2 linked regions of the Drosophila melanogaster genome follow. The protein of the gene in region 2 purifies or fractionates together with the protein of the main gene of each other region. This does not show direct contact. Each region holds a gene or a part of one and is shown on either strand. Other genes may lie near its edges. The genes, in order: jar and Mlc-c.

Evidence for each region.
Region 1: the proteins of Mlc-c (region 2) and jar purify together in Drosophila melanogaster (affinity purification with western blotting, with the first as the bait; one study listed by BioGRID). This does not show direct contact.

The regions. Positions count from the first base shown.
Region 1 is NT_033777.3:24,268,131-24,272,976, reverse strand, and holds the start of jar (jaguar), read left to right. Parts: upstream 1-1,743; 5' UTR 1,744-2,078; intron 2,079-4,846. UniProt on the Drosophila melanogaster protein: Myosin is a protein that binds to actin and has ATPase activity that is activated by actin. Together CLIP-190 and jar may coordinate the interaction between the actin and microtubule cytoskeleton.
Region 2 is NC_004354.4:5,618,456-5,622,685, forward strand, and holds Mlc-c (myosin light chain cytoplasmic), read right to left. Parts: upstream 2,121-4,230; 5' UTR 2,073-2,120; coding exon 2,024-2,072; intron 1,832-2,023; coding exon 1,419-1,831; 3' UTR 681-1,418; downstream 1-680. Other genes in the region: RhoGAP5A (Rho GTPase activating protein at 5A), read right to left, coding at 1-25, 111-222.

The sequences.
Region 1 (4,846 bases), on a different chromosome or scaffold from region 2:
AACCGACAGGGACAACAGCAAAGGCGGCTATATATCCGACCCTCTCTGGTGCTCGGATATATCCGACTGTTTATGTTATATGCGAAAAGAAGAACGGCAAACAAACGCCGGCTGCATGCGCACTCTCAGTGGAATCGATATGGAATCGGGAGAGCGGGTCTCTAATACCAAGATAGCAATACCCAGATACAACCACTTCAGGCGGACGAGGAGAAGGTGGAGATATGACTAACATGGTACGGAGCCACCCCTAGTCGTTTTTGGTAGCAAATTACACCGATCCCCGGCCACTTACGGGGAAAGCCTCTACCAATTTCCATTTGCACAGCCGCTTGCAGCCAGGTAAGCCAGGTAAGTGGAAACTCGAATGCCTCATCCGATGGCAGTCGTTTGTCAATCAGGCGATCACGATCACTCAGACCTACGCGCTCTCTTTCACTTCCAATTGAGCTGCGCTGCGACAGACAGACAATTAAGCGGGTATTGCAAAAATACAAAGAAATGGTCGCAGTTGAGTCTAGCGACTAAGAGATACCCATTCTTGTTCGTTGAGATACCAGTTTTCATCAGCTAAAAGAACTTAGTTTCATTAGAAAATTATATCTTATAGTTAAGCAAGTACACCAAGTAACTTCAACTTTGAAATCTAGTATTACAAAGTTAGAAGGGTTCAACCATACTTACTTATAACTTATAACTTACTATAGTTAGTAAAACACAATATACCCCTGCGACAATTAATAAAGACGCTCCTGATTGAGCTCAATTAATAAGCGGGGCGCTGACCCATTATGAGAGCGAAAAATCAAAGACGGAAAATCGTACGATACAATGGCTCCTATTTCACACTCGTTTCTCGTTCATTCGCTAGTGTTATTTATCTAAATATTTGCAACAAAGGCTGGCGGAATATTTGATCCCCAGAATGCATCCAGGTGGTGGTGGTAGCTGGTAAAGTTAAGGACAGGAAAATAATTAGTCACCTCACTTTTTATTCATTAAACAACCCCTCTTGGAACTTTTACAAAGAGTACGGGCGGTATGTGGGAACCAATTGTCCTGCTCCACGTCACTAAACTTAAAATATATAGGGAACAAGAATATGAGAACGCACCGTTGTGCAGCCATCGAAATCTATATTTTGAAAAGTTGCCAAATCTTCTTGCTTTGCTGAAATAATTATAGTATAGTACTGAGAACTGAGTACAACACTATCCAACATTCTGACGGATAAACCACTGCGACTGTGGACCAGTCGTGATGCAGGTGTTGCAGAAGAGTGAACCACTCGATAACACCGCATTCTTAACCCATTCCATTCAAACTTGGCCATTTTCGTTTGCATCTTTCATAATTAAACTTAAAAACAGCACGATCAGCGGTGAATCTTTTTGAAGAGTATACTGTTTATATATACTGATATGCGGTGCATCTTAAATTACCATATTCCAAGCTTTAAGTTTAGAACTGGCTACACAAATAGGATAAGTAAAAACTACTGCATCTACGAAAATGAGTATCTTAAAAACCCATCTAACCATTATGGATTTGAAAAGTAACGCATATTTAAAATTAGCGCCAAAACTAATCTCTGGTCACACTGCAGGGCAGATTTTGCGCCCTAACTATCGGCAGCGGTGGTGGCACCTCTAGCGGTCAGCTGTTTTGCGCGTGCTTGTTGTTGTTTCGGTGCCGTTGCTTTTCGAAGTCGAAAATCCAAAAGTGGATTGTTGTGGATTTGATTTCAGTTCGACTCGACTCTCCAACGCGACGGTACGCGATTCGAGACGCTCGTGCTGGTCGCCTTCCGATCGCCGCTTGAATCTTAAATCTAAACTGTTAAAACCGAGGCAAACAAACACAACACCCAGCTGAAAATACTTCAAGTGTTACAAACTTTTGGAAATAGTGTATCGTGGCTATAAATTGCAAGTTCTAAATTCGAACCAAACAAAATCCACGCAGGAGATCGATTCCAAGTGGATTGCGCCTTCATCAATGTGTTCGTGTGCGTCCCCGGAAACATAATCCCCATTTGCCAGTAACTTACGCACGTACAGATTTCCAGCCGTCTTAAGGTAAGTGGCCAATATCTCTCTGGAGGAATAGGGGTAAGGGGATAACCGCCTGACAGCGAGTGGTGGTCACCTGTGAAGGCGGATTTGCTGCCTTTTGCTTTCTGTTGACTTGCGCTTTTCGCCTTTCCGCCTGACATTGGCACATTCTTGTCCACGAAAATTGGTTACCTATGTACAATATGCCAGTGTTGCAAACAAGAAATCGATTAGCAATCGCGGAAGTGACTGCACCCTACATATGAGTACTTTCAACTGGGAATCGTTTTTTGCACATAAACTAAACCAAAGTACAATTAATCATTACATTTTATTAATTTCTATACCAAGTAGTTACATAGAATTTAGCTCTTTTCTGGCTTTGGTAAACTTATTCTAACCATGACTCATATTTGTTTTGTTTGCCCTCCAATATTATTAGTTCTCTATAGAACAGGAGGTTCAAACAGAAAACGTGACCGTAAATCGAACAAAAGGAGTGCGCAGTCGCAACAGCAAATGTCACCACCATTCCTGCAATTCCCACAGCTGTCCTCCTACCACGCATCCTCATCCACATCCCGCACCCACAACCATGCACCCTATTCCATGTGTCCATATGTGTGTGTATGTACATAATTCTATTTATAGACAGGGGCCCATGTCAACGTCGTCAGTTCACAGTTGTTGTTGTTGTGTTTTTAAAGCAAACTCAAAGATAGTTTTGTGTCCCGACCATTTTAATTGAGTGCGGAAATGAGCAAACATTTCTTGGAGCCACACCCCCCTCCCTTCCCTGTCAACCAGGGACACAAGTGTCGTTCTCCCCGATCGACTGACTGGCCGTCTGATTTCCCATTCGAGGCACATTTCGTTTATTTATGTGGAAAATAGGGGCAGAGTAGGAGCTGGAGGAGCAGGGATGTGGACGCCGCTCCTGCGCATGCGTGTCCATGTTTGCAGACGTGCCCAACCTATTCTGAACACTTTAAAGCCAATTAAACGGGTTCGTCGATACCCTTTCATGTGGCCAGGGTATCTATATTTCTCTGGGGGGGTGAGGAATGTTGTCCTTGTTCACGGGAATCGGTGGCTAGAAACAAACAAGAATGTTTATATGGGTGCTAAAACTAACTTACCTATTTGCATTTCCCTTTAACCAAGACATTTTACTTTATAATAAATATTTGATGGATTTATTGAGGTATCACTGTATCATTTCACCTAATATTCGCACAAGGGTGTCGCGCATATAATTCCATATAATTCGAGATCCTTTGCGGTGCACTGGAGGAAGTCCTGTTGTTGTCCCTGTGCTGGCTGTCACTCAAGCCCCGTTCAACCCCCTTTCAAACCGACGTGACCTCCCCCTCGCCGGGTGGCAAGCAATTCCCAACACGCGCCACACAGCTGACAGGATCGCAGGATCACAATCCTGATCTCCATTGCCGTCCATTGTCAGCGCCGACAGCTGCCTATATGAATTATATGGAACCTTCGACGGGTTATACAGATATGTAGCCCAAAGTTTCTCGAATGGAGGCAAACCAATCTTTTTGGAGTGGCCAGCAGTTGGGCTCGAGATGCGTTAGACCAATTTGCATATAATACAAAAAGAGAAACACTGAAACGGCCGACGATTGTTCAAAGATTCGCAGTGAAAGTCAGCCAGAGTGTGTGGTTTAATTGCAGCTTTTGTTTTGATAGTCGATTAGCATAATTCCAGTTGTATTTTGCTTCTATCGTGGCATCGTTGATGGATTTTTTATGTACATGCCCCTCTTGTTTTATTCATGTACATTAGTTTTTTTTGGTTTGTCCAACGCAACACGTGCTTATAAAATATTGGATCAATATATGCAATGAAAGTTCCGTTTCAGTTTCCTGTTCAAAAATATATCAACGGTGATTCAAACTATATATTCGGAATACAGTTGTAAATATGATAAGATAGCACTCATTTTTAAACACTAAATAAATAAATTATTTCAAGCTTAAACTTCAACCACTTAACTAATGTGAATCATGTATGATGATAATGATACGACCATTTTTATAGTTACAGTAACATTTAAATTCATAATCCATAATCCCATAATCTGCAACTTTTTTGTCAAAAAATTTTACTTTCGTTTGATTAATGACTGTCAGTCTATTTATAACTTTTCAATCGTTAAACAATCATTTAAAACAAAGGGACTGAAAATAGATTTGCATAGCTATAGTTTTCGATGGGAAAGAGGCTCGACTTTCTGCAATTTGCTAGTTGTGTGGCCAATAAATTTGGTTATATTATTCTCATTACAACGAAACTGAATTATATTTACCTGCTATTTATTTTTCTGCCTAGCGTCAAACGGGTAATTGTGCTGGGGAACTGAGATAAGATTAAGTGTGAAACGATAACACATATTTGGGAACACCACACACAGGCCGCCCAAAAAAACAAAGGCTGGCTAACACAAAGCCCCCAATGTGACCCAAAATAAACGAAGTGATCCATGCTTTTTTCCCCCATGCTCACATATCCGCCAAGTGCAAAGTAACGACTTGCAGGTCCACACCATATGGAAAATCTGTGAACATGTGTCGTGGAAAATGAGTTATAGGGTCGTCACACAAATCCATCAACGTCTGTAAAATGACTTGGTTAATGGCAATGGCAATGGGAATGGAAATGGGATTCGGATCTGGGTCTGGGTCTGGATGTGGGATAGCCAGCGGTTAGCATTTGCATTTTAATTGCATCTCCGAATTGTAGGAAACGAGCAGCGTTAATTGCCGTTTGGCTC
Region 2 (4,230 bases):
GGTGCCTCCAGCTGCAGTTTGTACACTGTGCGTGGGCGGGTAAATGGGTAAGGGGATGGTTAGTCATATCATAAGCTTGTGGGTGGCATACGAGGTGCTTCTCCACTCACATTCCGGCTTCCAAACCTTCTGAACCGGAGAACTGGGCTCGGGGGCACCGCCTACTCCGCCGGATCCACCGGTATTCGCATTTCCGGCGCCCGCCTCCGTGTTCCGGGGCATCCTCCCTCGGATTAGCAGGCCACTTGGTCAAAAGCCACTAAGTAGGCGGCGAATAATTAAGGAATGCAGCCAATTAAGTAAAGTATACAAATAATTTTGTCCGAGCGAGCAGAGCTGCCAGACTGGCGAAAATTAGCGCGGTATTAAAGTCGGAAGAATACTAAATTTAAATGACTATAACTTTAGATAAACTTTATAGTAAGCTTATTGAATTTATTGATAGCTAAACTACATTATATTGTTTTGTAAATACTGTAGTATGCAGTGGTTCTCACTTAATAATCAGTTTAAAAATGTCCGAAAGCTCAGAGCACAAGAGCTCGCAAAAAATACCACAAACAATTTGCTTAATTTCAGTTAAGTTTCCTAAATATTTCAAAAATTTGCATCAGTCGTAATTTTAAGCAGCCATTTATTTGATTGCCATCCGCTTTCAACAAGAAATAAAAACAAGAGCTAAGGTTTCAATTGGTTTAATAGTTTAAGTACGTTTCTTTTGTAAAAAGACCTACACATTCATTGGATCTCATTTCATTATTTATTAAATACAAATATTAAATTATTTAAAAAAAAATAAACATGTAAAACTTCAAAATGCGCATTTAAATACGGACACACGCCACCGACGCATATCAGCTTTAATTTAGAAATACTTTTTCGTGATACTCTGGCTTTCCTTCCTTCCATTGAAGTATACTATGGTAATTCATATATATATATATATAAATGTATCGAGTGTGATTGGTACAAAAGAACGACTGCACTAGTTGATAATTACTGATTAACCTTCTAGTGTCAATTTTAGAATAATACGCACATTCACAGACGCGGTAATTAGTTATGGTTAATCATGAATCTATGTCTACATCGTTGGTTAATTTTGGAAGTGGGAATAGCTCCAATCTCGTAGTTTTAGTTTTTAGTTTTCAGTTATTAGCTGCTTGTGTTAAGCACTTTCCCCTGTATTTGTTATATCTCGATATCCTTGGTCGTTGTCCTTGGTTTTGAATGCTTTAATGCCGGGGTAAGAATGGCTAAGTTGGAATCACGGAGTTGGAACTTCTGGCGGAATGAACGGCTCATCTATGTGTAGCTTGGCAGGTGTGTTTAGTGTTGGTGTGTTGTATTGTGTTGGATATAGCGTTGCTTCTATTGTCGTGTCGCTGGACAGTTGAACAGCTAGAATCGGTCTGATCCTAACCGCTCATGACCATGCGCACGAACTCCTCGTAGTTGATGTTGCCCTGCTGGTCCTCCATGTTGGCCAGCAGCTGCTCGACCTCCTCGTCGGTGAGCTTCTCGCCCAGCGTGGTCAGCAGGTGGCGCAGCTCGGCGGAGGAGATATAACCGCTGGCGTCCTTGTCGAAGTGACGCAGTCCTTCGATGAAATCATCAGCCGTATCGCCCGAGCGGGCCTTGGAGATCGCCTGATAGATGGGCAGGAACACCTCGAACGAGATGCGCTCGTCGGGCTTCAGCTGGTGGGTGCACTTCTTGACATCCGACTCGGTGGGGTTCTGGCCCAGGGCCCTCAGACACTCGCCCACCTGGCTCAGCTGAATTTTGCCATCTCCGCGGTTGTCGAACAGGTTGAAGGCCTCCTGGAATTCTGCGAATGGAAAGTGCGTGCTGATTGTTGGCAGATGCTTTACAAATCTTAATTATTATCGTTACAACTTACAAGAACCCTTCGATAAGGGATATAATATATAATACCTACATAACTACTACATATAAACGTATGGAAATGTGAGGGGGAACTATAGCTTTCTACCACCCACTAAATGGCTAAATGGATCACCTTCCAGTGTGGTAAAGGTTTGCTTCACATGCGCCGTATAGTAATACATATTGAACCACTCCGATGACCGTTTTGCCAGCTACTGACTGCCTGAAACTCCGCCTGCCCGGATTTGGCTGGCCATCGGATCGAAGCGGATCGGATCGGCTCCGATGCAAGCCACCACTCCGCCTTCCTTGGCCATGGTATACCCTCACGTCGCTGGCAAACTTCGTTTCTCTACCGGGAACTGCCTGCTTGCAAGTAAGATAAACAACCCAGAAATCCTAAGTTTCAAAGTTTTTCGTTTCGAGGCGTGACATCGCAAGTCCATTTCGCGTGCAGTTGGATTTAAGCAAGTGATGGTGTAAGTTAACCAAGCTGCAAAAGTTCTGCGATCTACGTGCGTAAATAGAACATTGTGGTTGGGCTCAATATTTTGTTTTCAGATCCTCTAAAGATCTGAGCACTAGAGTGTTCACCATTCGATGAATTGCTGGGATGTGTTCGGTTATCATGCGAATACGAGATCCAAAAATGGCAATAAAAACAAACGAATCCAGCACATTTTTGTCCATTTTAGGCAATGACAAAACGTCGACGGCTGGCTAAAGATTGCAACAAGGTAAGTTGGAATTGGAAAATAAATATATGGTATATGGCTCGTACATAGGCATATGCGGTTGAACGCTGACGTCAGAGTGTCACGAATCCAGCATGACGGAATTATCAGAGACCATTGACTTTGATTAGGTTAAACGAGGGGATTGCGTAAAGATTCGATTCGATTTGATTCGCCATGGAATCGAAATCGTGTTGCATTTTTACTTAGAGAGAAGGTGATGTTCCGTAAATGGAAGCTGGTTTTTTTTTTTTTTGTCAACTGACTGGCTTCTTATCGCATGGCTATTCGGTTTTTGCAACTGCAATTGCAGTTTTATTTGAAACGAGCAGCCGGCGAGTCAGAAAACCGGGTGATTATCCCATTAGACCGCTCTGTTATCTATATTTTATCGCTCACTTCCTTTCGCTTAAACAGTGTTTTTTTTTTTTTTTTGTACTCATACCGAGGTGTTGGTTATGATTATAAGCGACCAGTTTCTGTCTTACAATAACTGCTCTTATGATGACCTACAAACTTGGTTTACACTAGCTTAAGACTAGCACTAGCTTGTTGGCAGAAACTAACTAGCTGATGGTCGAATAAGTTTGTTGCCTGCTATGCATATTATCAATTAACTTGGTGTGGGTTTCGGATAACCGAAAGAACTCGGATTTATCAAGAGATATTAATGCGAAACTTGGTACACAGCCGTGTGTCGCTATTCTATGAAGCTATTCCTTGGACGAACATAATCTGCTGATCAAAGCCCAAAAGTAGCACAGTTTCGATATGTGTTGTCAGCTTGATCTCGGATGTCTTTCGAAGTCATCACGTCAAACTTTGCCTACAGCTGCTCTTAATTAAAGCATTTTGGACAGGGTATTGCAGTGTTTCGGTTTTGGGACTTTCTCGCCGCTTTTTAGGTGAGTCACGATCGTATTCGTATGGCTGCCGTCTGCCTTCCAGCGTATTTGCTTTATCAATGATTCATGCACACCACACAAATGTACGTGCCATCGCTTTCCCGCATTCCAATGCTGTGTGGGAGTGGGAGGGAGAGGGCGCTAGGTGCCAGCGCACATATCAATACTATACACATATATATATCTGTATATATATATATATGCGATTTGCCCGACTTTTGACTCCTGGTACTTGACCCCGTCTGGTCCTCGTGCGATTCAACTCACCAGCCAACTGATCCTCGGTATAAGCTGCCTGCGGGGAGAGAGAGAGGGGAAAGAAAGGAAAACAATGAAGGAAACTTGAGTGCTGGCTTCCAAAGGCGCCGGAAAGCGCACTTCCAGTGCGATCGTAAACAGTAAACAGCGCCGCAATAAACAGCCTGCACTCACCATATCGATTTGTTTTTAGCTATCTGAGGGAAAACAACACAAAATACACGAAATATTGAATATTGAATTCGACGTCGAAACAAAACGCAAGCAAATTCTGAAACGTTGTTGGTGTTAGTGGTCGCCGATAGTGGGCGCAATCGATAGGCCACTCGAAATTCGATAGGTGCGACAACATCGATGAGTGCAGGGAGTTTAGTGAAATCGAGCAGTGCTGCCAGATCGTTTCACAAGAAACCGCCACACGTGCCGCCGATTTGTTTTGATTT